Linked DNA regions of Mus musculus. The protein of the gene in region 1 interacts with the protein of each later gene in a pairwise test. Links are inferred from orthologs where the notes say so. Each region holds a gene or a part of one and is shown on either strand. Other genes may lie near its edges. The genes, in order: Arhgef7 and Sh2d1a.

The links.
Region 2: the proteins of Arhgef7 (region 1) and Sh2d1a interact in binary tests that used the Homo sapiens proteins (3 or more experiments, as listed by UniProt). The link is inferred for Mus musculus from reciprocal best matches to the Homo sapiens genes ARHGEF7 and SH2D1A.

What each region holds. Positions count from the first base shown.
Region 1 is NC_000074.6:11,827,215-11,842,850, forward strand, and holds the end of Arhgef7 (rho guanine nucleotide exchange factor 7), read left to right. Parts: intron 1-4,278; coding exon 4,279-4,378; intron 4,379-4,680; coding exon 4,681-4,735; intron 4,736-5,755; coding exon 5,756-5,878; 3' UTR 5,879-8,005; downstream 8,006-15,636. UniProt on the Homo sapiens protein: Acts as a RAC1 guanine nucleotide exchange factor (GEF) and can induce membrane ruffling. Functions in cell migration, attachment and cell spreading. Promotes targeting of RAC1 to focal adhesions. May function as a positive regulator of apoptosis.
Region 2 is NC_000086.7:42,495,346-42,511,806, forward strand, and holds the start of Sh2d1a (SH2 domain-containing protein 1A), read left to right. Parts: upstream 1-7,219; 5' UTR 7,220-7,377; coding exon 7,378-7,514; intron 7,515-9,474; exon of another isoform or gene 9,475-9,547; coding exon of another isoform or gene 9,548-9,549; intron 9,550-9,976; exon of another isoform or gene 9,977-10,000; coding exon of another isoform or gene 10,001-10,002; intron 10,003-12,379; coding exon of another isoform or gene 12,380-12,433; intron 12,434-16,461.

The DNA.
Region 1 (15,636 bases):
TGGCCAATTCTCCAGGCTGGCATTCGTCCACGGGCATGCATTTTTGCTGTGATTGAGGACTGGCACTCTCTTAGGTAAGATGTAGTCTAAATAGTACAAGGCAGGGTCTCTGTGTAGTCCTGGCTGCCTGGAACTCACAGAGCTCTGCCCACTTCTTTCCTGGAAGGTGGGATCAAAGGTGTGTCCCCAGGTCCAGCTGCTTTTTTCCTGTTTCCTGTCACTGAAAGGCTTGTCCTCAGAAGCTGCGTCCCTTCCTCACAGTGAAAAGAAGCTCAGTTTTTAAGTCCTTCATTTGGACCAGGGCCAGCATTTCCCTTCCGTTTTGCAAATTGCACTCCTAATTCAGAAGAAAAAGCCCTTCGTAGTGACAGCCCTTCCTTTTTCTAGGTTGGAAAACCAATCCAAACCCCAGAGCCATAGCTAGTGTAGCCTGTGAGCCTTGGATGCTCCTGAAGAGATCTTCTAAGTGTAATGCTATGTTTTGTTCTGAAAGTAGGATCAGCTGTGTTTAAATGATGCAGGAGCATGTCCCGAGTGTGCCAGGCCACTGGCCAGGTGGGCTGATGCTCATTTGTGACAGACTTAGCTACTGCTTTGGGTAGGCAAACACATACCTGTGTGTGCCCACATCCTTTTTTTACATACACAGGGTGTGACAGTTACAGAGTTGGACAGATGACTTAGCTATCGCTGAGTCCTAGCTGTATGTCATCCCGTGGTCCCTGACACGAGGAAGGAGTCTGGGGTGATCCTTGGCTCTAACAGCCTCCGTGGATCTGTGTTTCTCACCCGAGACCCACAGCCTGTTGGCCTTTGACAATGCAGGGCAGGATACTACTAGAGACTACTAGTGTTTGACTCTTGTGTTTCTGTTGGTGTGGACATGTTCTCTGTCTTGAATCACATCTGTGAGTGGGTGTTGCCATAGGACCTGGAGCCTGTAGGCGTCCCCAGCAAAGAATGACCTTGTAAAATTTTCATGCAGGACTTGAAGTTGGTGAGACACATCTGTAGGTTTGTTCTTGGAGAGTCTGCATGAGAAGTGCCAGGTTGGGCTGATCGCAAACTGTTCTGTCTGACGCGTGTGTCTTTTTCTCTACTTGCACATGGAGGGCATAATGGTGGGTGAGGGCAGACTGATAGTTTTTATTGGGGCTGTGAGGCCACCTGGCACTTCTCATGCTGTTACCCATAAACACCATAAGTGACACTGATGCTGAGATTTAAGAAGTCCAATGTTTAGATGAGGAGCTTTGGATAGACTGAATTATAATAAAAGGAGTCCTTTTTTATTGCTTTACCCAAACCTGTAGTGTTCTAGAAGTGCGCTGTGAGCCTCCAGGAAAGGTCTGCATGCAGTGTTTCAGGCAAGCAACAGCAGATCCTGACGCCATCGCCCCAGGGACCACAGTGTGTAAGACAGCTCTGCACTGCGCTGCAGAGCCTTCACAGTGTGCTGCTGTGCCAGCTCCTGTGATGGGGCACCATGTAAAGTGCTAGCACATTCTCTGGTCCTGTGGTTACATGCTTTTTTCCAACCTAGGTATTCAAGAAAACTGTGCTCTGATGCCACTAAGCACAGCAATGTCTCAGTTACAGTGTTGAGTATGTATTTTAGAAAACTGCTGTCCTTAAGATACCACTAACTTACAAACTGGCTTGCTATACTTCATTGTTTTGTTGAAAGGCGGCTACACGTTTTAAAAAATCATTTTAGAAATGCATGCTGTGTTGAAAGATGGGTGGCTTATGGTGACCTGACGGGTGTCTGCCTGCTGTACAGATGAGCAGTCTGCGTTACATGCCCGTCACCCACTATCAGGCTCAACAGCAGTTCCCTCTGCCTGTCTCAGAGCTGGAGCAGTTATACCTTCAACCCAGAGCACAGTCTTAGACTTTGATTGAGGTCTTGGTGCCCTGTGCACAGAGCAGTTTCATGTCCAGGACCCTGTCATGTGTTTTCAAACTGACAGCTGCCATGAAGTTTAGTCCCTTAGATCTATTGCGTTACTTACTGGAGCTCATAGCTTTTATTTAGGACTACGTTTAGTAAGAGATGGTTAACTGAAAGGTCAACCTTCATTCAGCAAAGTGTCCTTGGTAAGTGTAGAGCAGCCCTCAGTCTCTTACAGAGTCTGAAAGCTTTAATGCTGGAAACAGATTTTCCAGCGAGAAAAGACTGGAAGAGCTGAGAGGAAGTGCGCGGACCGCACTGCTCTGGTATGGTGACGAGGCCTCGCCGGGCCTCACCCGCCGGGCCTTCTCAAGCCCATAGTAAGTTTAATGACAGGGTGGTCACCAAGACTAACAGAGTCATCAGCACTCAGCCCAAGCATACTACTTGGCTGCAGGGTAACAGCGGGAAGCCTGGAGAGCCATCCCAAGTGCTCTTTCCTGGATCCCCTTCTTCCCCCAGGAGCTGGGGTCCAGCATCGCAGACGCCTGCACTTCTCTGGTCCTCACTTTTGGGCACTTTCAGAATGCATTAGCTTCCTCTAAAGACACCTGCCCTCCTGTGGGAGGCATGCGTAAACATGCTTTCTTTGTGTGACCTGTGTCCCTCAGTGCTCAATAGGAAACGAGCCTCAGAGTGGCTCCTGCTAAATCAAAGAGGCTGTCCAGGAAGGACATCTGCCTGTCACTTGCACCCTCCTGGGGGTGGGGGTTGACACTGTCAGCCTGCTGCTGGTTTTTAAAATATGTCCCTCCCTAGGACTATATGTTAAAGCCTACCATCTCCAGGACTTGAGACACAGAGAGAAAGATAGGTGGTGTGTCCTCACTAGAGCACGTAGCTGCAACCCCTCCAGGGTGGGGTGGCTATCATTTGGGATAGTCTTTCACAAAGAGTATACTCCGAGCATATTAGGATGTTGACAACCTACTCACATGGGAGTCAAGGCTGGACTACCTCACCATATACAGGGCCTCCTTTTACTGACAAAATTGTGCTCTGTGACATAGGCCTGGCAGGCCTGGCTTGATGGCCACTCCTGAACTCCCCAAGGTGTTTCCAGTCTCTGTCATTCTGGCCTTGATTGAGTACCTTCCAGTGCAATAGGCTTGGCAGATACACAGAGTCTTCCAGGCCCCATAGTTAGCCTGATGTACAGCTATATGTCCCTACATGCCAGGGACATTTCATAAGCTTAGACAGCAGTGGGCTCACCTCAGTGCATTCAGAGCACAGGTTCGGGTTAAATTGCATGAAAAGCTGCTCTTCACAGTTTTCTCTCTCAAACACCATTCTAGGGTTTCCATGCCAACGAGGGTGCACAAGAAGTGCTCCTTAAAATCTGATATGCTTTCAGAAAGACAGACAAAGGGCACCCCAGAAACACAAAAGCAAATTAACCCCTTGTGCACAGTCATCTTGCCTCGTGTCACATGCTTTTCCTCAAGAGCTGTGACAGCACAGCCCTCGGCAGGCATCTGTATTCACACAGAGCCCGTCCTTCAGCAGGCGTCCATATTCATGCAGAGCCCGTCCTTCCTCCAGTGCGGACCTGGTGGTGGTGCGCAAAAACAATGAGAATAATCAGTCACATGGCGTAATTCTTCCTGGTACCCATCCTTTCAAGGCCAGTGTCTGCAGCACATTGTGCGTCCGACACATGAGGTGGTTACCAGCCAACGTCTGTGCCAGGACCATGTGCCTGTTCCCGCTGCCATTGGAAGCTGTGTGTCTCAAGGGGCTGAGAATGCTTTCATCTGGTGATCAGTCAGTAAACCGCACCTCTCCTAAACCATTGTGTTACAGTGCTACAGGGTTTTAAAAGCCATTACTACTGTACAGCTTTTTCTTGACGCTTTAGCTGTGACTCTTAGCCCTTCACACTGAGCTACCACTCCAGCTCTGAAACTTTTTTTCAATTGCCAGACTTTTTTCATTTATAAGCACAAGAATTATGCATTCTTTCCCGGTCTGGACTTTCCAGCGTTGCTGCTCCGCTATAATGGTTTAAACCTCGATTGTGTGTTGAGTGCAGTGTGGACAGACCTTTAGCGTACTTGCTGTTAGCTAGCGATTAACGTACTTAAGAGAGTTTAATAATTCGCAAAAGAGGCGATTTTTACTTAGTTTGCCTAGTTTGCCTTTGCTGTTTCCTTTGCTCTGTAGTGTTTTGGTTGGCCACACTCAGCAGACAGCTGGAGGAAAGTGGTGAAAGGTCTTCCTGCGCAATCACTGGTGCTGTGTGATAAGTGACTGTAGTGAAGTAGGTGTCCTTTCCTGCCCTCAGGTGGCACTCACGTGGGCCTTCTCTTTCTAATGACCAGGTTCACGCAAAGAATCTGCTCCACAAGTGTTGCTTCCAGAAGAAGAAAAAATTATAGTCGAAGAAACCAAGAGCAATGGGCAGACAGTGATAGAGGAAAAGTAAGATGCTTTTCTCTTCCATTATGGCTGGCTCCCCACCCCCACCCCACTCCATCTCAGGCAGATAGTGATAGAAAATAAATAAGATGGTTTTCTATTCTGTTCTGGCTGGCTCCCCCACCATCCCATGGGTGGCACGATCTCTAAAGTCTGCCGGAGGCTGGGGTGCAGCCCCTCAGATGGGTGACAGTCTAAGCTTGGGGTTAGCTTGAGGAACCTAGGGGGGCTCCACCCTGGAGGCTCTGCCCGTCTGTGTTGTGTCTCTTTGGCCTTTCCTGTGCTTACTCGCTCTCCTGTTCCAGGAGCCTCGTGGATACGGTGTATGCGTTAAAGGATGAAGTCCAGGAGTTAAGACAGGTACGCCAGCCAGTTTTTACTTTTAATTAGTTTTTTTTTTTTTTTAAATGGGAGAAAAAGGGAAATACTGTTTTAAACGTGAAGCTCATTGTATACTGAAAGGAAACCACAAAGTCAACACCGTTTCTCAGATAGGAGTGACTGGCAAGGGCTGGAGAGATGGTATAGCGGCTAAAAGGTCCAAGTTCAGCTTACACATCCACATGGAAGCCTATCTGTTAACTCCAGTCCTGGGGTATCTAATGCTGCCTTTTGGCCTCTGTGGGTAATGCATACACATTGTACACAGACATACATGCAGGAAAAACACCCCGTGTATAAAACAGTATACACACACACACATGCATGTCTAAAAAAGAATAAATTATCATTTTAAAACACAAGAGTGAGAGGCAGGAGATGCCTGCCTGTGCAGCACAGCTGTTTGGGTGCGAGCGGCCCGTCTTTTGCCTAACTTCTAAGTAGTGCTTTATTACTTTGTGTTTGATGTGGGGTGGGGCACATGGCATGGCACATGTGGAGTGGGTTCTCTACTTGTATGTGGGTTCTGAGAATCAAATTCTGGATGTCAGACTTGCCCTGCAAGCCCCTTCACCTGCTTGAGCCGTTGTAGGATGTGTATATTCAGTGCTTTGGAGGGACAGGGCAGCAGTGTCCTGAGGGTGAGGTAACTGGACATACTTGGCAGTGCCTGTCTCCCCTTCTCGTGTTTGGGGCAGTATGCTTTTCTCCCTTCCTGATATGTCTCGTTCAGTAGCTATTGCTTCTGTTCTGTGTTTGACTGGACAGGGGAATTACAAATGCTAGCAGTGGGTCTGTAGACATTGTCCCTGTTCCTCTTACCAGCCCCTTCCTTCGGGCACGTTTCATGCGTGTAAGTAGGAGACTGCCATTACTCTCCAGAGTACATTCACGACTCAGCTCGGTTGGCCGGCCCCTCCCAACCTGGGCTACCGAAGGATTCAGCTAAGATGAAGGATGCCGAGGTAGTGAACCTGCTGTTGTCTGCTTGCCTTACAGGATAACAAGAAGATGAAGAAGTCCTTAGAGGAGGAACAGAGGGCCCGCAAGGACTTAGAGAAGCTGGTGAGGAAGGTTCTAAAGAATATGAACGACCCTGCCTGGGATGAGACCAATCTATAGGCTGACTTCATTCTCATAGGCTGAAGAGCAGCAGTTCCTGGACATGGCTGGGGCCCTTGGCTTCCAGCACAGTGACATTTAGGACTAAGGAAGGTGGTCTCCATCAGGCGAGCAGCAGCAATGAGGCTGTTGCTGAAGTAGCTACATGTGAGTTATAGACACTGAGGTCTGGGCTGAGTGTGCACATATCTGCCACTTCTCCATGCAGTGACTGACCAGAGTCCTTTGGCTTCTGGACTTGAGTTGAATCTATAAATAGCATACCTGTGTACTCCTTGTAAATACTGGGATCTGAGCACCTACCTGAGATGGGACTGGGCTAACCCTCCTGCTAGGATTTCCTTCTCAGCCTTTCTGGCCACAGGGATCTGAAGTTGTGTTTGTGAAGTGTTGGAAGCAGAAAGGTGAAGAGATGCCGTGGCAGCTGTCTGACTCGTGTGTAGCGCAGGCTCCATGGTGCCATCGGGAACAGGCACTCGGGCACAGTGAATTTGTGTGTCTCTGTTCTTAACTGCAGTATTCCAGTCTCGGCTATGGCTGTGCCCAGGGCATCATGGGTTCTAGGGAGGGAAACTGTTACCTGCCTGTGGTGCCCGCCTCTGCTGCCCTGCCCTGTCCTGTCTGGGCCTTGGTCACAGTGTGCAGAAGTGGGTTAGCCCTGTACATAGATGTGTTATTTATTCCATACTCTCTAGCCGGTGCTGCCGGCCGGGCAGGGTTTGGCTGCAGGCTGTTTTCATCCAGGAGCTCTGCTCTGCCTCTGGCCGCAGTCAGCGTTGTCCAGGCCACTGAAAGCCCTCCTAACCCTCTGAGCGAGAATAAAGCAATACAAACCCCAAGTGGAGCAGCACAGCGAGAGCCCTCAAGTGCTGTGCCTGCGCCCTACTCTGCTGCCTCCCCAGGCCAGGCCCAGGCAGGCCCTGGAAGGCTGGTGGCCTGGGCAAGCGGCCCTGCTTCTGTTAGGCCATGCTTGCCCCTGGTTTGGCAACAGTTAACAGTGACCTCAGGAGCTTAGCTGTCCCTTCTTTCCTCCAAAGAGGTTGTTTTCAAGTCAGAGATACTTTCCCTTAGAAAGGTGTTTTGTCTTTAAACACTGAAGAGCAATGTGTGCTACTGGGGCCTCAGCACAGCCTCTTTCCCTAGGACGTGACCCAGCCCCCGCCCACCCACCCACCTGTGGAGGTTTCTGCGTGGGCACTTAGAGGCCGTTTGTGCTCTCTCCTTCTGCCACACTCTAGCTGGTTGCAGTGTCTATGGGTTGTGTCTGTCAGGATCCACCAGAGCCTCCCACCCCTGTTAGCATTTACAGCTCAGTGTGCGGGGTGAGAAAAGCTGAGCTGTTCCTTTCCTTTTGGTAAGCCCTGTTTTCCAAGCACTCTGCTGACCCAGAAGACACTGCAGCAAAAGGCAGTGTGTTTGCTGTCACAGCAGGTCTCAACTCAGGAACAACACTCCTTGCAACTCCACTGCTGGCACAGGGGCCTGGGGTTGCTGGGCAGCCCCTCCATCAACAGGAAGCAAAGACCATGTTCGCCAGTGTCCTTGCCACCGCCGAGGTTGCCGTCCGTGCCCCAGGACAATTCCTTTCAGACCTGCCTTAATGATTCGCTTGGAGTGTTCCATGAGTATTCATGTTCCCAGCATCCCTACCCTGGACAGGGTGGTTAGGCTGTCAGCACGCCGCCTTGTCTCTCTGAGGATCCAGTGTCTTCCAGGCTCTCCAGGGAGCGAGAATCTGCACCCAAGAGCAGTTCTTTTTAAAACCGGCCCTGGTGTACACACCCACTTCTCTCTCCTGCGTGTCTGCGCGGGGAGCTTTGATACCAACAGCACAGGGCGCCTCTCACCAACTCCTAAGTCCTCTGTGTTCTGTAAGGGATGCGGGGGAATCAAGCCATTTCCTGTCGTGTAGATGTGAAGCACTTTCCGTTCTGAACCATGCTGCGGTGTAGCAGCGTCCGAAACTCCACTGTTCTCCTCCAGCTGCTGCCCATGCGCCCTGTGCACTTCATGCCAACCCCCACTTTCCTGGGACACGACAGGAGACCGCACCGGGGTCGACTGCTCAGTGTGTGTGTGCTACACCCTTGCAATTATTAAACTCCTTATTTTTCTTATCTCACAAAACGTGTTGCTTCATCTTCCTTGAGACGGTCTCCATGTGCATGTCTTGGCTTATCAGGTTTGAAATCCTGATGTGTTCAATGCAGGGAAATACTGTTGAAATCTGGGAGCATTTAAGGATGGTAAGAGTGGGAAACAGAAGTTCTAGGAGTAGTTTCTCTCCCGAATTTCACCCTCCTCCCACTCCCATTAAATTGGAATAACAACTGCTGGTAAGATGTGGGCCATTTTCTGGATTAAAACAAAAGGCAGTGCTCTGAAGGAATCTGGGATCTCTACAAAAGAAAATTACTGCTGCTGTTCAATCAGCTCTGCCTGGTCAGGAGCTGGTCCCGAGTCCCGTTAGGAAGTTCGTACCAGATTTCAGAGACACGGCAGTAGCAGGCCTTCCTAGGTTTGAGACAGACAGACAGACAGACACACACACACACACACACACACACACACACACACACCTTTGTGCCTCAATGCTTTATGGACTGCAGCATCTTCTACCAGATTGCTCTTTGGTCATCCAGAGCTCCTGCAAGCAGTGGATACAGATGTAGGCCAAACACCCACCCCACGCGCGGGGGTTGAGGTGGACCTCAGCCCAAGCCCAGTGAGTCAGGAGCGTGAGCTGGCTTTGGGGCACGCAGCTCTTGCAGTGAGAGTGCCCTGTCTGGAAGGGCTCTAAGGCAGTGCAGGACTCGGCTCTGGCGGACGGTGCTGTCGGTTGCCAGGGCAGCCATGTGAAAGGGTACCTGGGCTGCCATGCTGTGGGCTACACAGGCACTGTGATTTGTCCCTATCTGGCTCCCGTCCGTACCTGGGCAGTTCTCACAGATTGGTCACCAAGTGCAGCACTCATCCCTCTAAGGGAAAAGGCAGCTGTGGGTCTGCAGTCAGTCCTTGCACGGCCTCTCAAGCCTCAGGCCTCAAAAGCACACGGGCGTTTCTTAGGGTTGGCATAGACAGGCTGTTCTCTCCAGCCCCCAGGGCCAGATTCTAACGTGGTTTGGGGAATCTCAGTAGCAAAGTTGGGGGCTCCAGAAGAGCATACACCAAGTAAATGGGCTGGAAGCTTAGTGGAAATCATTAATGTAGTGTTCCCATGGCCTGCAGGTTTCTCAGAGCCATAGACCCTGCTCTGTACCTAGTCTTCCCTGTCAGGTCATGGAGGGTAAGTGGCTTACAAGACAGAGCTGCTGCTCAGCACAACCACAGTGTCTGGAAGCTTGTGAGTCTGGTGATGCGGAATGGCAGGCAGGACATGAGGCTTCTCGGACCCTCAGTCCCACTCAACTTCAGTGTGTGCTGTGAAGGAGCTGCTACCTTCACAGCCAGGGCCTGCTGCTTTCCCACCCACCCCTCCTATCCCCCATTCCTGTCCCCTCCTGTCCTACCTGCCCCATCCCTGACTGCCCCACGGGCTTCCTGCTGCTCGCTGTCCGCTCCTGATGGCAGCCAGCTGGTGAGCTGATAAGAAGCAGGACAGCCACTCAGACCATTGCTCTCCAGGCAGGGTGGCTCGGACTGTCCCTGGAGGACAGGAGCTTGGGTTGCAGTGTAGACCTGTCTAAGGGTCACTGTGTGTGTCCCAGCCCAGGTCCAGGGGTGTTGAAAGCCATGGCCAGCACTCCTATCCTGGTCCCCAAGTGCGGGGAGCCTTTGGCTTCCTGTGTGGATGTGCCCTTTTGTTTTTATTAGTGTTTTATGAGACCATGGCTCTCACACTGGTATTTTCGTTGTGTCTTCACCCTCTTCCTCCAACTGCCAGTCTTCTCCCCAAATCATCTCTCCTCTGACTTTTGTTTTTCTTCTTAGATTTATTTATTTATTATATGTAAGTACACTGTAGCTGTTTTCAGACACCCCAGAAGAGGGCATCAGATCTCATTATAGATGGTTGTGAGCCAACATGGGGTTGCTGGGATTTGAACTCAGGACCTCCAGAAGAGCAGTCGGTGCTGAGCCATCTCTCCAGCCCCTCTCCTGTGTCTTGATATAACTAATGTGTGTACACACAGGTAACCTTGGTTGCACATGTGAGAGGAAAAAACAGCCTGTTTGTCTCTTGGGGTCCTGTCCACTAACATGCTAGTCTCCAGCGTCTTCCTGCCAGTGACATAGCTGCTCCTTTATGGCTGTGCAGACATGGCATGTTGTCTTCCTTCCTTCCTCTGCTAAGGACACCTAGATTGGTTCCTTCACTTTGTTACTGTGGATCATACAGCAGGGAACACAGATGAGCAACTTACACTCCAGTTATGTCTTACCTGCTCAGAGAACTCAAAATGGATCAAACACTTTTAACATCTTATATTCTGAGATGCAGGTGGAGTGCCATCCTTTCTGGACAGGACTCAGACAGCTCTGGACGCCAGTATCCATAGCGTGCGACAGAGACGCTTCTGCACAGCAGCCCCCGATTGTTACATACTCTGAATCTGCCTGAATTCCCCACTTCCTTGCCCCCAACCTGGCTTTTCTCATTTCTCAGTGTGTCCGTCCATCCGTCTGTCTGCATTTCCTATTCTGGCTGGTTCCCAGCACCTGACCCTGAAGCAACACTGGGAACCTCTGTTCCCGAGAATCCCTGGTCTCAACTCTGCCCCAGCCCATCCTCATGTCCTTTCGTCCCTTCCCCCTGCCCTTGCCACTCCCCACCTCTGTCATCGACAGTAGCGGTCGATTGCTTTGTGGAAATTCCCAATAATATAGTTGGGGCCTGCTGTTGCTACCTCCCAGAAGGGACCTGTGGGTGAGGGGCAGGCTAGCTGGTGCATCATTCTCTTCTAAAAGCATTTCCTTTTTAGCTTTTCTTTCAGGGTGCTGTTGGGGAAGGTTTGCACTGGCCTGTGTTGTGGCCAGTCACAGGCCAGGCCTCAAGGTACCTTTAACAGAATTCACCCCCTTAGGCACTCCTTAAATGGGGACAGTTCTCTGCTCTAAGTTACTTTCTGCTGTTTTGGAAATCCTGAGGGCAGGTGTGTAGAAGGGAGGCCCTGTAATGGCTAGGTAAGCATCAAGCAGGTGCACTGCTTAACATAGCTGTGGTCTGGACACTCCCTCATCTTCTGGGAACTGTTGGGGTCACAGGAGACATAAGTATCAGCTCCCATCACACGAAACAAATCGGAGTGACCAGGAACAGTTGCACGGACACCCACAGTCACAAATCAAATGACATTCACACTTTAATACCTTTAGTGATACCCTGGTGGGGGCATGCACGGAGCAACAGGGGAGTTTCATAGTAGGTTTCAGATGCTATGAAATTACATCCTTAGCTCTTGGCTGTGTGGATGCTAATGGTATATTGATACATTTTAACAGGCTTCACCTGTTAAGGTAAATGTTAGGTCTAACCCAGAAGTAGGGTGATGAATGGCTGTTGCAGGGCTAAGGCCAACTCTGGATTGTTTGGATGTAGAGCTGTATCATTCCAGCTCTTCACTGCTCTAACCAGGCCCTCGGCTTTGCAGATTGTGTAACGGATATGTGGTTGGTTGTCTTCTGGGGCTTAGGGCTTACTGTCAACAGGTAGCACACTAGTGACCACGGAAAGGCGAGCTTCTCTGACTAGAAGAGGGGTCTCATTCACCACTGACCCAGTGTCCGCCTGGGAAGTGAAGGCAGAAAGAGGGTGCACAGGTCACAGAAACCCCACTGGAACACTCACCGCTGCCAACGATAGTGTTTGTGTAAAAAATATAAACGTGTGTTCGAAACCATGGTGCAAGATAGAATATTTGTCTAGAGATCAGTTTTCAATAGGCCAGGAGCAAGATAGTCGATTTTTATTAATAACGAAAAGTATTAAATAGAAATAAAGTGAAAGATGAAGACCTTTAGATCGGAGGGTGTTGAAGCCATGGCGGTTGAAACAGATGACAGTGGGAATGGTTGAGGTCCCAGAGTACGAGGGTGCTGACTTCTCACCTGTCTCCTGCCATGCTTAGGAAGCCCTGGACTTGTTTGTTTCTGTTCTACATCTCAAAGAAGTTCTGCAGATTGTGAGGGGGTGGAAATTAGCAAGACTGTGTAAGAACCTTGTGAAGATGTTAATACTGGTCAATACTGGCATCAAGGGGTCTCCATCAAAGGGCAGACACGGGAGACGACCCAGACCTGGTCTGAGTAATGACTCAAAGGTGCTCTGTGGGCCCAGTTTCTTGGTTCTGGCCGTGGCACTGTGGGCTGGGAGCATGCACACACCTTCCCTCGGAACTCACTGGGGACCTGAGCCCTGGGCTGTTTGGGACCTGGGTCCCTGCCTCTGCCGAGCCCAGGTGTTCCTGCAGCTCAGTTCTGCCCTGTGGCAGGGTTCTGCTCTTGGCGGATTGGAAAAACTGAGAGCAAGGGAGCCTTGCTAGGCAGTCCCTGGTTTCCCCACCCTCCACATGCAAGACAGCGGCCAGTTCCTCCACACCTGGCTGTGCTTGCTGCCTCAGTGATGGCTGATAAACAGCTTCACCCCAGGGAGCAGTAGCTCCCAGGATAATTAATTTCCTTCATATTATGCAGCCACCAGCTTTTATTTCTGTAAAAGTTGCCATGTTTGCAAGAGCTGCTTCTTATACACATCCTCTTGGTTATTAAATGCCAACCACATTTGTTTACAAATAAAACCAAGTTAATGAAATACTGCATCTACATTAGCAAGAGCTGAGAGCACTGCGGCCTCCGCAGGCTCCAGAGCCTTGTGCTGGCCTTCAGTGGTGTACCTCAGGGAGGGTCCCCACAGAGCATTGCAGTTAGAAAGGGGACCATCTCCAGCAGCTCACTTCCCAGCCCTGACCTACTTGGGATTCTTGCAACACCTGGAAAATACTGAAACATATGGCAGTTTCCAGCAAGGAGCAAAAGGAAGGTTGTCACTGTCACAGCCCCCTTCCAAGGGCATGCTTGCACTGTGATAAGCAGAAGGGGCCCACTCTGAGGATGGAGGCATAGGACTCACAGGGCCTTGTTCCTTCTCCTGTGGATAGAGGGGACCTTGTTTTGTTCATGGTTGCACCCTAGTAGTGTTTGCGAAAACACTCCCAGAAAACAAAAGTCACATGGCGAAATTTAAATATATGATCCTGCTCCCAAGCTCACCACGCTTTCAGGAAGGAGCAACTTGGATTCTAACTTGAGGCTTCAGAACAGTACCTTACACAGGGGAGATTTCCCCAGCCCATTAGTGTGCTTGGCCCCCTCTCTCCATACCCAGTCCATAGAATGAGGTGCTGTGTAACCCTTTTATGACCTTGAGCTTCAAAATGATGTCACAATAAGCAGGGACTGGTTTCCTTCTGTCCACCCTGACCTCCAGCTACTTGTGAGCCGTAGACAAGAAGCTGAGGTAGCCAGTTCGTGGCTTAACCAAAACATTGTTCCTTCTTAGAGGCTACCAGAGAGGCAGTGCACAGACCTCAGTTCTGGAACTGATGGACAGGTTGGTGACTACCCCTCCACCCTGAGGCCAGGAGAAGCCCTCAAAGTTTGGCCTGTTAATTCTCTAGTACCCGTACAAAACGCCCCAAAGATGGCCACACTGCCACCCTGTGCTGAGGTGTCCTGACTGACCTGTCTTCAGGTGTGAATACTCGGAGGTCCCTGTGTGCTGAGGTGGCCTAAGCTATCTTTTAAGTGTACAACTCCTGTACTCCCTGTGCTGAGGTTTCCTGTCTTCCAGGCATATTTGATCCCTGTATCCCCCGCCAGCTGCTACCATGAAAGACACCAAAGAAATCAAGAGGTCCCCACCACATCTCCTGAAGAAGTTTGCAGGTAACATGGAAGAGACTCTTGGGGCTGTTTGCATGGAGAGTTTGGCTGTCGTGCCGTCTGGCTTATCTGATCAAGGAAAGCAGGGACGTGTGTTTCCAGGTTACCCCATGGAGCCACCTTGAGATCTCTGAGTCTTGAGCCATTACAGAGCAGCCCCTTGGGATTTCTCACACTAGCTCAAGAAACAACAGGGAGTCCCAGGGCTTTTGGTTGGTTATACTCTTCAGTCACTTTAAAGCTCTCATCTCTCGGAAGTGGCTTTTATAGAATACGTTCTTTTTTACAACAAGGAGCACGCTTCTCCTCCCCACTAGGTATGTAAGCAGGCATTAGACACTTGACCCTGGGTGTGGAAGTCGTGCAAAAATATGATTTTCTCAAAGGCACGTTGACTGTGCATGGTATAATTGCATTTACTTTAAGTCAGGCAGGAAAACCTTCTAGAATTGCGTGCTTCGCAGGAGGAGCCTCAGACCACTGGGGACTGTCACCTTCCCTCCCAAATCTCACTGTTTGAAACTTCCTTTTTTTTCTCTCCTCAATGGTGCATGTATTTATGCATTGCTATTATGCCATATGACATGGAGAAGCAGAGAAGAAATGTGTTCATCTTTTGTTTGTCTCCCTTGGAAGGCAGGCCAGGCGTGTTTCTATGGGATTCCCTGAAAGAAAGCCAACTTCTCCCTCGAGGCTGGGAGTGGGAGGGGAGGCTCAGCCACGGTGGGGTTGGGGAGGCATTAGGTCATGCTGGGGCCAGACACCTCCACAGGCCAAAGACTCTTAAAAGGACCGATTGCGATATCTGATTCAGAACAAGGAAGCCATGCCGGAGATGTAGGCAGACTGGAGCCACAGAGAGCAGCAGAAACTACTGGGCCAAATCAGAGCGGCTGCTCTGTATGTTTGGCTGGGATCCAGTGGCTCTGTCGTCTCCCACTGGGAGAGCAGTAGCTATAACAAAGGGTGGAAAAACTCTGTCCTTAAGGTCCTTGTGTGCAGCCTCTTGGTCTCCATCTACAGCTAGGAGCCCTGGGGAACTGTCTTCATGGGGTGGGATCAGTACCTACCTACCTCTGCAAGAGGTTCCTGGGAGCTGTTGGACACTGGCCCTGAAAACCTAAGCTTGGAGCTGGGACACCCCACTGCAGGTTTCAGGGGGCAGCTGAGAGGAGACCACAGGATACAGGTAAGCTGTGTCTTGGGGCAGGAGGCTGTTTTAGGGGTGCATAACGTATCTAGGGACTGTTGAGCTGTAGCCCTGGGGCATGAAATGATCCCCGCTTGGTGTCCAGATTTCCTGGTGTTCCCAAGCTGTGGACCTATGCTTTGCCTCCACGGTAAATGACAGGGACCACACTCCTATTGTTCCTTTGAGCCTCAAAGGCTTGTTGGGAAAATGTAGAGAGGTGAAGCTATGTTTTCTTTCTACAGTGTTGGGATTTTTTGGATAACAATGCATTCACATTTCAACAGCTTTGTTGGCAGACTTGGTCTGGCACATTCACTTTCTCAGCCAACTGAGCACAGGTTCTTAAAGTTCAGTTGTAACTATTAATATCAGTCTTCAGATCACACATCACACAGTAAAACACCTCTGTGAATATATTATATGATATGTTAATATTTATTATATATAACATTAATTTTATTAATTATACAATAAATTATATATAAATAATAAATATATTAATATAACATACATTAATATATACTGATTATATATGTGTACATATATGTGTGTAAGATATATATACAAACAGAGGGGGGCAACACAGGGCTACACAGGGCTCAGGAGAGTTCAAGGACTTCCAAAGAGGGACAAGAGCAGAATCTGGGGCTGCTGATAGAGATACAGAGGCTTGGGGTCGGGATAG
Region 2 (16,461 bases), on another chromosome or scaffold:
TTATGTTTATTGTATGCAGGAAGTATGTATATATGCATATATACATGTTTGTGTATGTGCAGGTATACGTGTTTAGATGAGTATGTGTGCATGTATGTGTGTGTACAGGAGTTTGACACTAGGTGTTTTCATTGACTGTTCTTCATAGACAGGGTCTTTCTCTGAACTGGAAGTTTGCAGATTCTAAACTAATAGAATAGGTGTCAAACTCCTGCAAGGTGCTTGAGGATTCCCTGCTTCAATTGCCACATGGATAATAGGTGGTCACTAGACCCATTGGTCTTTTATGTGGCTTTTGGAGATCAGAATTCTTTTCCTCATACTCGAGGTAAGCATTTTTACCTACTGAACTACCTTTTCAAGCTATTATAGAATACTCAAGCTATTGAACTCTTTGCTGAAAAAAAGATGCCAGGATTTTTCCAAGAAATATCACTGAGAAGAAAGAGAAAAAGAATGTAAATGTTGCATATGTAAATACTACTATTTGCCATTGAGAAATCTGCCATTAGCTGTTTTGTTTACAGGGCTACAATATTTGATTTGTACCTAAAAAATGTATATAGTCTATTTCATTCCTTTGCCAACTTTTGATATCTGTGATATCAAAGTGATAATTCATGTTTTTAAAAATAACTTTTAGTTTTTGTTTCATCAGATTTCCATTCTGAAAATTCCTATATCATTAGATTTATTTCTATTATTTAAAACAATTTTAAATTTAAATATATTTTGATCATATTCTTCTCATCCTCCAAAGTTTGCTGTGGTGATTTGAATACTTGGCACTGTTAGGGGGTGTGGCCTTGTTGGAGTAAGTATGGTCTTGTTGGAAAAAGTATGTCACTGTAAGGGTGGGCTTTGAGACCCTTTTCCTAGCTTTCTCGAAGTCAGTCTGCTTTCAGATAAAGATGTAGAACTCTCAGTTCTTCCTGCACCATGCCTGCCTAGATGCTGCCATGCTTCCTGCCTTGGCAATAATGGACTAAACCTCTGATCCTGTAAGCCAGCCCCAATTAAATATTGTCCTCATAAGAGTTGCCTTGGTCATGGTGTCTGTTCACAGCAGTAAAAACCTAAGACTTTCATCCAGATCATTTTCTGTATCCTACCCACTTGACTTTAAGATCTTTCAAAAAACAAAACAAAACAAAACAAAACAAAACAAAAAAACCTAGTCAAAAAATGCACGACAACAGCAAAATACCCAAAATATAGAAAACAAAATACAACATTACCCCCAAAACAAAGAAATAAACAACAAACACAAAAACACCCCACCAAACTGTAACTAAATAAAAGTACACACAAAAAACTGTGGAGTCTGTTATTTGTTAGTCAACAACACCTGAACATGAGGCCTGCCCTGGAGTGGTTAATATACCTAGTGTCACTCTATTGGAGAAAACTGATTGTCCCTTCTCAGCAGGTGTAAGTGACAGTTTTGTTGTTAACCTTTACACTAGTGACAAGGTTTACATTCATTCGTTTTTGTTTGTTTGTTTGTAAAATATAATAAACTAAAATATAAGATAAAATAAAAAACTATCACATTGAAATTGGACAATATAAACCAACAGAAGGAAAAGAACCCAAAAGAAGGTATGAGATCCACTCATTTACAGGAACCCAACAAAAACAACAAACTGGAAGCCATAATATTAGTGCAGAGAACCTGGTACAGACCAGTGCAGGCCCTGTGCTTGGTGCTTCAGTCTCTGTGCATTTGTATGTGTGTGTGTGTGTGTGTGTGTGTGTGTGTGTGTCCTTTTGGTTCAGAGGCCTTGCTCTCTTCGTGTCCTCCATCCCCTGTGGCTCTTACACTCTTTCTTCTTCCTCTTCCAGGAAGATTATCTGAGCTTTGAGGGGAAGGATTTGTAGAATTGAATTTAGCAATGAGGGTTGCAAGACCTTTACTCTCTGAGTAATGTCTCTATATTTGTTCCAATCTGTTGCTGGAGGAAGCTTCTCTGATGATGGCTGAGAAAGGCACTGATCTGCTTCCCTGGCTGGAGTCGATAATTCATGTTCTAAAATATCAGAGGATTTTAAAAAATGTTCAGGCAAAAATATATAAACAAAATAACATAGCATTACTTTGCACTTTAATCCAGTTTGAGCTCTGATGGTGAAAATGTTATATTTTCAGAGAGAGAGAAAGAGAGAGACAGACAGAGAGAGACAGACAGACAGAGAGACAGACAGACAGAGAGGGGGAGGGGAAGAAGGGAGAGAGAGAGACAGAGAGAGAAAGGGAGAGAGAGAGGGAGGGGAGGGGAGGGAGGGAGAGAGAGAGAGAGAGAGAGAGAGAGAGAGAGAGAGAGAGAGAGAGAGAGAACAGCTTTTCAGATGGGAATTTATTTAGAGTCTCATCTTTTTAAAGATACCTCATCTGGAAATAAAGGGTGCAGAAAGATGACTTGGTTACTATCTGAAAGTAACTGGGATAATGAAGCCAAAAGGACACAGGAAGACTTATTTATAAGTAGCTAAGGAGAGGTGTGTAAAGAGTTGTTTCTGCCAACGAGGATGAGGCAGACCACTTGATAAACATTGGTAAATGACTGTGTAAAAGAAATCAATGAAAAAAATGTTACAGCCTTGGAATCAAATTGGAAACTGCACTCTGTAGGAGGTTCTCTCTCTATAGGGAAGGAAAGAATAATGTTGAGCAGATGTCAGGTACTGTGTTTGGATATGTATGCCCTAAGAGGAATATGGCATCATCCATGTCTCCCAGGGTTTCACAAGCTCAGAGCAAAAAGCTCTTGAGCATCTGTTAGGTTCTAGAAAAGTAGAATATGCTATCTTGTTTATACTCACAGAGGAAACTAAGATAAACGTGCCTACGACTTGCCTTCGTTCATCTAGAAAAGAAGAATTGAGCAATAAGACTTTGTCTGTGTAGCAATTTCTGACTTGTGTAGAAGACACCTAGAATATTTATTTCCAATTTTTAAGAAATAAGTTTTCTATGGTTTCTGAGGCTAGGTCTACATTTCTGGGCTCAATAAATTCTCCCAAATTTGCTGGACTACAGGCATGTGCCATTAAACCTGGCTAGATCACTTTAGGAACAGATTATTCTCAGAGTACTGTTATTTTTGGATAGATGGATGGATAAATGATAATCCATATTTTGGACCTGAGAACCTGAACAACAAACCATCCAAGCAAGGTCTTTCCTAGGCATACTATCAAATAAAGCGAAGCTCAAAAAACCATGCCATTTCAGCTAGAACTAAGTTTCTTTGAATTTAAGATGGAGGTGAAAAATCAGGCAAACTAGAGTAAGTAACTATACACAGTAGACATAAAGATAAAAGACATTGTCACATTAAGTACGTTTTATATGTTCAGAATAAAAATAGCACAAAATGTAGTATTGCTGTGCTGTGAGAATTCCACCCTCTCCTCTATCATAGCTTGTATTAGTTACTTTTGTAGTGTTGTGACACAGTCCTTGCCGTAAGAAATTTGTATCAGGAATAATTTGTCTTATGTTTCTAGAGGACTAAGTGAGGTGCAGCATCATGGCAAAGAAGGCGGGAGGAGGAGCACTGATTTGCCAGTGGTGTCTGGGAGGGGGGAGTGGGATGGTGAGGAAGAGAGGTGGGGAGGAAAGGGAAGGCTGGGAGGGAGAGAGGGAGAGAATCTGGGACTTGGAATTAGCTGCCCCTTTCAGAAGCATATGCTCAGTGAGTTACTTCCTCCAGGTACGGTCCACATCTTAACATTTCTATCCCATCCCAAAATAATGCCACCAGGTGGGCTCTAAGCATTCAACACAAGAACTGGAATCTAATTGTCTGTTTGCATCCTGCTATGAGCTGCTTGAGAACAGGTATGAACTATGGTTTTCTTCTTTCTAACTTAAGTTCCAACTATTGGATCTGACATACAATAGAAGTTTATTAGCAGCTGGAAGAATAATACATATATTTAACAGGTTTAAACAAATACCCACAGCAACCTTGTGTCTGCTTTCTCTCTTTGAAGAGGGCATTTAGGAAAACATATAGCTTTATAAATAAACTCAGGTGTTATTGAAAAGAGGTTCTCTCTCTCTCTCTCTCTCTCTCTCTCTCTCTCTCTCTCTCTCTCTAAGACTATTTTTTCTTACTTTTGTAAAGGAAGTAAATCTAAGTGCCAAGAGTATGTGTAAACTCACCACATCATAACATGGCCACAGGAGAATTCACACATTTTAGAGAAGCTGGTAGAAGAACAAAGGTAGTTTTGAAAGGTTAGAGAACAAGATTCTGAAATGTCCTATGTACTATACAAAACTGACCACCCTTGGCATCTTTCTTTTAATCTACTTGGGCTCCAGAATAGCCTAGGGCATTTGGAATACAGACAATTAGCACCTCAGACAGGGTATCCACGTGCTAAATCCTGTCACTGTTCAGAGATCTCAGGAGGAGACAAGTTTAGACAAGAAGACCCTTTAAACCTTGCCTGACAGGTTTTCTAGCTTTCAATGTTTTGGTGTTGGACTTGAATGGCATCTATATTCAGAACGTTTTCTTTAAAATATAAGGCACTCTTCCTCTATGATAGTTTTTATTTCTGAGATTATTTTAAAAACAATGAGAACAAATGCCTCCTCCTGTTGAGACTTCAGGATCTTGCTTCTTCCTCAAAAAATGAGCTACCCCTGTGTTTTTCTCCAAAGAAGCTTGCTTGCTTGCTTGCTTGCTTGCTTCATTCATTCATTCATTCATTTATTCATTCACTTATAGCACAGAATGTTGAAGCTGAAAATGACTACTCAGGGTTCACCTGGCTCAATTCCATTTGACAGATGGAGAAAATAAGGCTCAGAGAGAGGAAACCATTTAGTGATAAAAGGTGGAGTACAATTTGGACCTCAAAATACCTTCCAATTCTCATCGCTGTTTCTAAGGGGAGCCAAAGGAATGGAAAAGCACTCTCTCTCTCTCTCTCTCTCTCTCTCTCTTTCTCTCTCTCTCTCTCTGTGTGTGTGTGTGTGTGTCAGAGAGAGAGAGAGACAGAGATAGACAGAGACAGTCAGAGACCGACAGAGAGACAGACAGATAGACATTGAGAGTCAGAGAAAGAGACAGACAGACAAGGGGGAGAGATAATTTCATATTGTTTTCTTGACAATTTTAATTTCAGACATTTATTCATTCACTAAACCCATCCACTCTGTGCCAGTCTCTGAGGATACAGTGGCAAACAACATATATAAGACCCTGTTGATATGCACCTTAAGGTCAAGTGATAGAGACAGGCAACATACAAGTAGATTCTTCCTCTCATAAATGGGGCCCATTCCTTAGCTCTTTGTCTGTTGGTGTCACTGTTATCTCCCCTTCTCTGTTATGTGATCTTTGTCTTCCTGTACTGTGGGTACAGGGACAGGGAAGGAAGAAAGCTATTTCAGTTCCTCTATTCTCTACACTTCAAGCTCTGTGTGAAGTTTGAATTTGCCAAAGTCAAGCTTAGTGCCTGCATAGCAGCAGAGCAAGGGTGTCAGTATTTTTCATCAACACTGCACTGGTGGGCTGGCTCACCTGTCAGTTTGCTTGTGAGATGACAATAAGGTAGTGGATGTGAGAGTTGTACTATTACCGTATAATTTAACTGTTCTCTTGTGATGTGATTTTCGTTGTGCTGAAGCCCACTGTACCTGGCTGCTTTGACAAGCGTGCTATTTTAGCAATGCAGAATGAAACAGAAAGAAAAGAATGCATGGGATGCTTGCTCCGTCAGATCCAGGTTTCTCTGTGCCTGTGTTTGTAGATGATTTGTTCAGGGTTGTTCAGAGACAAAAAAAATGAGGTTAGGTTTTGTTTTTAACCTATGGAACACTGAATGTTCTAGCAGTTACACTCTAGGTGGGCTACTGTCCGTATGCCTTAATAAAAGAAGATTACCCCTTTCTTTCTTTTCATATTTAAAATGCCATCATTATAACTGATTTCTAAATAGAGTCCTGGTTAGGCTAAACTCTGATGTTTTTAACATTGATGTAGGTAGGCATTTATGTATGAGAATAGAAGTTACAACACATTTATCAACACCTGTGCGATGATGTAAAATGGATTTTATATCCACAATGATTCTGGCCTAGCCCCATATGCCAAAGGGTATATAGAAGTTCACACAGGACACCAATGGACAGACCAAACTGGACAGAAAAAGCCCACAAACCAGCAGCTCTACAGGAAGAACTACAGACAGCTGAGTAAAATCGGAAGTAGAAGAAGTGGTCACCCGTGGGAAGAGCACACTAATTGGTCGTCTACTACCAAATGGCTATCCCTGAAAACATACATACAAATAGCACCATACAGGCACAACTGGATGTGTTTAGGAATTACACGTATATACATATATGCATGCAATAATACAATAATACAATAGCAATGTTGTTGAAGAGCAGGGAGGGATTCATGGGAGGGTTTCAAGGGTGAAAAGGGAAGGGAGAAATGCTGTGATTATATTGTGATTTTAATAATAATAAAAACAAAGAAGTACCAACAAAAGAATTTAGTCTTCTTAAGCTCCTTAGCTAGATCCATCTACACTTTTTTTTTTTTAATATGATGACAATTTTTTTCATAGTTTTGGATTTTGGACAAAACATTAAGGTAAAAATACTTGTTTTGGCCTAAGTGTATTCAAGGATTTGGCATATGGCTTCGGGATAGAAGACCTCATCTGCGAGGCCCCGAATTCCATCATCAGCATTGAAGAAAAGAAAGCTGTTTCAGGACCATCTAGTCCCAAAGTCTGTAGTTCAGTAGCCCTTGGTGATGCTGTGGAAGCCTTGCAGCCATGTTCTGCTGTGGTTTTGTAGCTTGACTGCTTTTATGCTTTTATTTTGTCAGTCTGCTTCTGCCCCTCATGATGAACACGTCCCATTCACTTCTATCACCAATTCTTTTGTTCACTCGTTAAGACAAGTCATTGTCAATGGCTTCGAAGTTTGCAGGAACTACACAAGAACAAAGGCACTAGCAAGTTTCTCATCTTTGTGCAAGCTCTGTTTGCGTTGCTGGCACAGCTCAAATACTGCAAGTGTTCACCTTTTCAGCGTGCCCCCTCCCCCACCACAAACCTTTGTTGGAGAATAGATGATCAAACCCATGACAAGTTTGAAGCTGTTAAACTGCTGAGCTGGCCTGAATTGAAGTGTGAGAAGAGGTTTTAAGGCAGGTAGACAACATCCTGTTGTTAGGGTGTTTCTCTCTCTCTCTCTCTCTCTCTCTCTCTCTCTCTCTCTCTCTCTCTCTCTCTCTCTCTCTCTCAATACTGCCCAGTAAGCCACTGCAGCGGCAACAGCAGCAGCAAAGTTTCCTTTTTACCATCCTTCTTCTGGGCCCATCAAAGAGTTTGCTAGGCATGGATGCAGTGACTGTGTACCACGGCAAAATCAGCAGGGAGACCGGGGAGAAGCTCTTACTCGCTACCGGGCTGGATGGAAGCTATCTGCTGCGAGACAGCGAGAGTGTCCCTGGCGTGTACTGCCTGTGTGTTTTGTGAGTATATCTCGTGGTAGTGGCAGGTTGTTAGCATGGGTAGCCTGCCCTTTCAGGGGAGGGCTGGGAGGAGTGGCAGGGGATGACAGCTTTTGGCAGAGGTACCTAGGGAATACAGGCAGCAGGAACTGAGTACTCTTCCAGCTCTGACGTATGGTCCCAGGGCTCAGCCCAGGGATGTGGTGGGCAGTACTTGTACGTACGTCCCTCACTGCGGATTTTATCAACTGCATTTCACCAGTGCGTTTGTGGCAGCTTCACTGAATACCCTTCAGAATGGGAAAACATGGCCTAGAACTTACCTTTACTTTGAGAAAGACCCATACTCTGGACTTCGGCTCTGATTCCAAGTAGACACCATGATGGTGGAGCCCCGGGAAGTTGGACTATTTGTATTCTGGGCCATGAAGTAAGGCAAAGGAAGGTCTTTCTCTATCATTCTCTACAAATGTGACTGAAAATGGTACCCTAAAAGAAAAGCATCTAGCAAATGCTTGAAGAAGTGGTTAGCCAGGAAATGGAATCCATTGCTTTCAGAATGCAGCCCAGGGAAGGCAGAGGTAGACAGATGTGTGTGAGTTTCAGGTGACTAGCCTGGTTTTACATGGGCCGGTTCCATGCCAGCTAGGGCTACATAGTATAAGATCCTATTAAAAAACAGTAGCCAACAACACTAAAGCAGTACAGTGCTGAAGAGGATGTGTATGCAAGAGTAGGGGCACCTTTCTGGTGCTGCTGAATTGCCTTGTTTTATAAGAGGCATAATGAGTTTTAAAACGTGCTGTGTCCCGTAAATGATAGGAGTGAGAATAGTTTTAAAGAACAGAGAGAGGGAGAAAACATCATTGTAATTATCCCACTTTGAGCTTTGCCTAGACTGGTCTCAGCCTCTTACTCCATTTTGAACCAGGTGCAGCTGCATCTTGGCTCTGTACAACCTCCCTGAGCAAATCCTACTGTAGTCAGACTCAAAAGGTTGTTATCTCACAACACCAATCTCTTAGCCATTGATTTTAAATGGGATTCATATTCTAAGGGTCAATGAAGATTAAATACCTCCATGTACAAAAAAAAAAAAGACAAATGAACACTGGGCTTGACGCTCAGCAAATGGAAGTCTGGTTTATTATTAGTCTCTTTTTGGACAAATTATTCCGGTACTCCTTGAGGCAGTCTACAGAAGGACCCAGTTCAAGCACTACTGTAAGCAGGATATATATATATATATATATACATATATATATATATATATACACACACATATACACACACATAATACACACATACATACACACACACATATATATATATATACACACACACACACACACACATATATACTGTATGCTTATACATATATCCCAGTAAAACCTCACTCTAATACAGTAGAGTCTACATGAAAGCAAAACAAAAATGCTTGGTAGTGAGTTCTGTACATGATGATACACTGCAAAAATTTGACGTACTCTCTGGGCCAGAAAATAAAGATTAAATTGAGGCTGGTGTGAGAGGATTGTCATTGTATATTGATTTTTTTAAAAAAATGTCCAAGCCTTATTTTTGTCAGTTTTTAAGATCATGCTAAATACATTTATCATAAAGGCTTCAAGGTAAATATATGGAAAAATCATTTTTCAGTGTTGGGGACAGGATCCAGAATTTTATATGTGCCTGAAAAATGCTTTTTTATTAAGCTAGATGCCCAACCCTGGGCTTGGACCTTTATGTTCCCAAGTGGAACCCTAAGAAGGGCTAGGGAAGCCAATGACAATCCTTAGTTATTTTTAACTTGTCAAAAGATGAAGGATGGTGAGTGAGACGGGCTGCTTTGGGCACACTGATAATAGAAGGAGCATGCTCCTTAACCAGAAGGTTCACATGAAGCCTATATAGGGGAGAGAGGGCTGGAGACAGTACAGCTCACACTTGAATTTTTCTTCCCACCTGGTCACCCCGGAAGGTAACTAAGCCTGCTCCCTACTCAGGATTGTCCAGTTTCTGTTCAACATTGCATCTCTTGATCATTCCCACAAATGTAAGTGCCCTCTCTGGGTTGCTATCCCATTTCTTCTATTCAAGGAACTTTAAACATGCTAATATAAGTTTGTTTACTTATATATGGGCTCTACCACGAAACTACCTTCACAAAGGAGCAAACATTGCCTCTACCAGGACTATATCCTGGTACATAATAGGCACTCAGCAAACAGTTTGGAATTCGACTAACTGTTCAGGCATATGCTCTTCACTATGAAGGGCATCTGGCTGCCAAGAAGCCAGGGTGGGGGCTCTAGGAAGTCATTCAAATTCTCTGGGGCTTCACCTTACATCCGTGTAAAATAGAAACCTGTTGTTTCCTCTGTTATAAAAGATGGCTGTAAGTGAAATCTTGAAGAGAAGGAACCTTAGTATTTTGGTATGTAGGCCGGAACCATGTAAGGAAATTCTCAGCCTTCTGGTTTTCACTCACCGGGGATGCTGTATAAATGTAAGATGCTTGTTTGTTTGTTTTTTGTTGTTGTTACTGTTGACTAACTTCTCTTTGAAAACCTCTCCCTATGAAAATAGAGAAGTGGAGAATTCTCCTCCAGTCTTTAAAATGATGGTCTGTTGTTTTCAAGGTTATGGCCAGACAACTGTGGAAGGAATGCTTTTCTTGCCTTTGATAAGTGCTTCAGGGTTTTGTTTTGTTTGTTTTGTTTTGTTTTGTTTTGTTTTGTTTTGTTTTGAGCTGAGTGCCCCTTTTGCTACACACAAACATTTTATTCTCTCTTATTGGCACTACATGGTACGTGCAACATGTTATTTGGATCCTAATCTACATTCCTTACTCAAAATACTGATTTGTAGGATTTAGAGTAGAAAAAAAAATCATATATGCTTGAAAAAAACCCACAATAGTGTCTGTTTAATCAGTACCACCTTATTTTATGTTTTGTTTATTCTCATTAACCACGAAGGTTTTTGTAAACTTCAATTTACTCTATTTTTATTGTATGGTTCAAACTATGCTTAGAATTGTATTTTCAAACCATATGTGCCTCTTTCCCAGATTAAATCTCAGTCACACGGGACCTTTTTCCTGTTAGGTTTTCGAAAATAGAATGTTTCAAATATTGTAAAAGTCTTCCATTTCTAGGACTGCTACTTTCATTTAAAACAAGAAGCCTTTCTTCCAGTTGTTTACTCTAAATAAAATTAGAATTAAAAGAGCCCATCAAAATAGTCTTTTATACTCATTTGGGATATAGACTTTGAAAACAATGGAATTTATGGAAAAAATTATCTATAATATTATGACTTAAAGACAACTACTATTAAGTTTTAAACAACGTTTCTTTTACACAATAAAATGAATATTTTTGAACATGTACATCTTTCATTACATTTTGCTGCAATTTCCACTTAGTATGAAAAAAGCTGACTCATGCAATATTTTCACAAATAAATTCAAAGCATTATCTTATAAGAGCTGTATGTTAGTTCAGCTAAGTTGTAAATGAACCATATTTTTCTAGACCATATTTTTCTCTTATTTTACTGTTTGTTGACTAATTCTGTTCTTGTATGACTTCATACATATACATCAGCCTCTTATTTTGACAACTGAATCATTCAATACTTTAAATTATAAATTCTACATATAAATGATCACAATATATCTTTGCCCAAAGGAGTACTATAGTTTATATGTGTACTTTCCTTTACCAATGAGTATTCTTGTTAAAAATAGTTCCCTTTGAAATTTGATATCTTAGCTTTTGTTAGTGGCACTAAATGTTTTCTATGTGGTTATTTGCATACTTATATCACTTGATGATTTGAATCTTATTGCTTTACACCACACACACACACACACACACACACACACACACACACACACACACACACAGATACACGGACACATCTTAATGTGTTGTAGATATCCTTTATCAGTTTGGTGTTTGTTATTTAATACTTTTAGTATTAAAATGAATCACACAGCTTCTTCATGCTTGATTTTTTTCCCTTTGCATCTCAGCTTAGAAAATCTTTTCTCCTCCCTAGATACATAAAACTTGACTCTTTTGTTTTAAATATATGGTTTTATTAATTTATATTCTACTCTTTAATTCCATTTGAATTTTACTTCTATGTGCATAAAAGATCTAATTTGATTTGTTTCTAAGTGGTTTTCAACTGTCCAACATAGTTTACTAAATAGAATTTCCACTTTTTATTTGTTGGGCTACTTTACCAAAACCTAAAAGAACTGAATAGTCAAAATATGGTTTTTGTTCTTTGACTATTTGGTTCAATTGATCTATTTGTACTTGCATTAATTGAATTAGTGTGCCATACTTTTCAAACGTACTTAAAATTTATTAGGTACCCTTGTCTACTGGTTCTTTGTGACAAAGTCTAAAATAATTCTGTTAAATTAGATTAAATTAACATCAATAATAAATTAAGGAAAAACTATAATCTTTAGATAACTAACTCTTTTCAAAGAGACAGTGTAAGATTTTACTCCTTTCTTTTCTTCTGGGTATATCATGTTTCTTTTATTGAGGTACATATTATACCCTTACAAGTTTTCACTTTTCACTCTAAGATAAATAGCCACTTCCCTGGATTGGCTCACAAGAGAAAAACGAATTAAAATATTTTAAAAATAAGCTTGAAAAATACCATATGTCCACAATTAACATCTCTCTGACTTTATGCTTCTCTGATTTAAGATTTGGCAGAGGAAATGCATTTATAATTCTTTAGCCTCGAAGACACAGAATGACGCCATTGTCCTATATGGCTTTGGATAAGAGAGTTCTCTTTCTGGCCTTTTTTGAGGAATGAAATTGACGATTACATTTCTCCACCGACAGTGTGCATAGCGCCTTCCAGCACTATGGATTAGCCTATGTAGATGAAGCTTCCAGGTCTGTATCAGCTTGGGTTTGTTGTGTTCTATGCTTCAAGTGTGTGGTGTCTTCAGCAATAAGGTCTTCCTGTCAAGTTCTGGAGGGTAATCAAGAACACTGGCAATGACCTGTAATGGTGGTCTATGGGACCTCATTGGCCAAAAATTCAAAAAGTCATGATCCACTCCTGGTACTAGGAACTTTATTTGCTAGTGTGTGATATTTAGTGGCTGCCCTTTTGTAGAGTAACTCCACTTTAATAATTATATAGATGTGTACATTTATTAATTTTAGTAAACATCTACATTAGTAGGTTTACCTTTTTGAGAGAGTTTTACTGTTATTTATCTTTCCCCTTATTCTGTCTTCTGGTCTGCCTTCCCACCACCACCCCAATTTAACCCTTCCTGTTCTAGTATTCCCTTTTCACTCTTTTTTAAGTCTTGCATACTTTTGCATGCCATCTCTTTGTCCCTGAAAGCAGCCACCTATGGTCCCTGATCTCTATGGGCGTTCACACATATCTCAAGACAAAAAGCTAACAACAACAAATTGGAGAGCATACATGATATTTGTATCCAGTTCCATCCATGGTTGTGAGCCACCATGTTGTTGTTGGGAATTGAATTCAGGACCTCTGGAAATGGTCTTAACCTGTGAGCCATTTCTCCAGCCCTTGTAACTCTGCCTGTTATCTAGTAAATTTTACCTTGGCTAGGTTCCTCCATTTTCTTTAGCCATGGATTGCCACCACCAAGTGGTGGTGGGAAGAATGTAGTTTTACATTAGTCTGTATATTGAATGACTTTAGCTTGTACTGGAAATTCATATCCACTCCAAAAGAATAAAGTTTGGAAAACAGAAAATTAGAAACCTCTTGAAGGAGAATACAGTTTTAATAATGAAGACTTTGTATGCATGTGGCAGTTACTATGGATGTAATATATTTGCTCAAAATTTAGTTACAGCAGGTACAGTGACTCCTGCTTGCAATCTCAGCACTTAGTAGGTGAGGTCTGAGTACCTCCATGAGTGTGAAGTCAGTCCCATCTGTAGAATGAGTTCTCACAAAGCACAAGAAGTCCCTCAAAATCCGGCCCATAATCCTGTCTTCCAAATGTTGTATATATCTGTAAATATTTTGTTTAGATATATTGTGTAAAGGAGACTATAGGAATTAGCTTGCATTATTTGCACTGAGAATATAGAAGTCAGATGTACTTACAGTTTTTCCTTTGAGAAGTCCTTTAGTGGGCATCCAGAAAGTTTGTGTGGGTTTGTTGGTTTGAAGCAAAGTCCTACCTACCATACTGACTCACTGAGAAATTAAGAAACAAACTGAGCGGCTTTGTACCTGCCCATTGCCAGTCTGAACACCTTTGAAAAGCAGCTTTAGGTGAAATAAAGTCAAATTTTAGAATCAGCAATAAATAAGACACACTTTTGGTATGTGTTACTTACGAAAATAAATTAACAGCAGCAATTTAAACACTACACTGTTTTAAATTCTAAATGCTGCGCTTATGATCAATTTCAAAAAGCATCTCAGTGGGAGAAGGAAGTGAAAATTGATCCAGTTCTTGATTTGTCTATATTCACAGAGGAAGTCAGAAGCATGTAGCAATTTTAAAAAATGAATTACATTTTTTAAAAAATTTGTGATTAACAAAGGCACAGCATTCACAGCTTCTGTCAATTCAGTATTTTTAGATTCTATTCGTAACTGTGATCTTGTACTATTTGTCTTTCTGTGCCTGTATTATTTCATTTAACATAATATCTGCCATTTAGGTTCATCCCTACTGTCAAAAATAGATAACATTTTCGTTAAGTTTGAATGGTATTCAATTACATGCATATTTCAGGTTTTGTTTTAAATCATTAATAATTAGCACATATTGTACAAAATGAGTTTATTATACTATTTTCTTACATGTAGAATATATTTTGAACATATTTGCCCCATAAACCATTTTGTCTTCCCTTCTTCTGGTCTTTTTTTCTCAGTTAGTTCATTTCTGTGTCTTTGTTTGTTTGTCTTAAAATCGAGATTCCCTCATATGAGGTGCAGCATGTCTAGATCACACGTTCTTCATCCATCATTCATCCGGTCTTGTACACTAATGTTGATTTCTTATCTTTTCTATTGTAAATGGTGTTACACTGAACAGGGGAGCACTGACTCTTCAACATAATGATCTCATTTGGATACACGTCCAGTCATTCTATTGCTGAGTCATACCTTTTTAATTTTTTTTTTTTTATTTTGTGAGGAACCACCTTCCTGTTTTCCATAATCACTTTACTAATTTGCATTCCCACTAGTAGTGTACATGTGTTCTCTTTCTCCACACCCTTACAATACTCACCTTTCATATTTTTGGTGAGAGTCACTTGAACAGGTGTGGTTTCAATTTGCATTTCTCTAATGATGAATGATGCTGAATTTTTTTCATACTTTTTTTTGGTCCATTTTGTATATATTTTTTGTGAAAAATCTGTACAGGTCCTTTGCCCATTTTTCAATCAATTTGTTTTCTTACTGAGTTTTTCCAAATCTTTGATATTTTGGATCCTAAGGCTTATCAAGTTAATGGGTTGCAAATGCCTTTTCCCATTCAGCAGGTATGCTTCTAACTCTGCTGACTAGTTCCCTGCCTGTGAATGATTATTTTATTTTGATGTAATTTTTTTGTTTGTTTGTTTTTTCGGGACAGGGTTTCTCTGTGATGTCCTGGCTGTCCTGGAACTCACTCTGTAGACCAGGCTGGCCTCGAACTCAGTAATCTGCCTGTCTCTGCCTCCCCAGTGCTGGGATTAAGGTGTGCGCCACCACGCCCGGCTTGATGTAATTTTTATTTCTACTTTAAATCACACACATTTTTGAGAGAATATCTAAAAACTATTCTCTTAGTCTGAGTAATGTTTACTTGTTCGGAGTAGTTAGGTTAATTTTACTTTACTATTAAAAACATATTATTTTGTTTTGACTTATTTCCTTGGAGTGTATGATAATAAGCAAGGTTATTTGGTCAAGATATGTATGGTTTTATGGCTTTTATTAACACTTATTCCTTTTTCCTATAACAGTGATTTCCTACAGACAGAGCATATATGTGGTTTTAAAAAGCATATAATATGGTTAAAAGTATTTGATGCTCTTCCAGAGGATCTGAGTTTGGTTCTAAGCATCCATATCAGGTGCCTCACAAATGCCATGATCTTAGGGATGCAATCTGAATTGTTCTGCTTTAGATCTCTCCCATTCATGACATATTATTATGAATATCATCTATGGAGGATAATTGATTAGTAAGTTATATGACTGAAAACAGAAGTCACACACTTCTGGTTTATTTGAGAGAAAAGTTTGTTCATTCAGAATTCAAGGCCTTGGGGTGGGGAAATTGTTAATATCAGATACCTTAATCATGAGAAAATGTATGTGCCATTGACATCAGCTTGTTTGGAGACTGAAGAAGGTAAGAGCTTTTGAAGTGGTACTCAGGTTCCTGCTGTTTAACCGAAAGTGAGATAAGATCAGATTCGTTAGGAGACAATTTTCAAAACATACTCATTTATTTTGACTAAATGAAGCTGAATGATGGTAAAGAAGCATATCCATTGTGTATTTTAGGGGCCCATTTCTTTAGAATCTGGAAGAGAGCTTGCTTACCATTTTGCTTAAATTATTGAGTTTTTACTTTGTGTGGTTTTGCATGTACACATGCATATGGGTATATATGTATATAAGTGCTTATAGGTGTGTGTACACGTGTGTATGGAAGCCAGAGAACTTCAGGTGCTAGTCCTCAGGAGTTGTCCATCGTAACTTTTTGAAATGGGTACTCTCATTTTTCTGGAGCTTACCAACCTTGGTAGGCTGGCTGGCCAGTGAACCCCAGGGACCTGCCTGCTTCTGCCACTTCAGTGTTGGAAGTAGAAGAGCATAGTGTCATGTTTAGAATGGGTTCAGGGGATTAAACTCAGGGCTTCCTGCCTGTATGCAAACTCTTTAGCAACTGAGTTATCTCCCAAGCTCTATT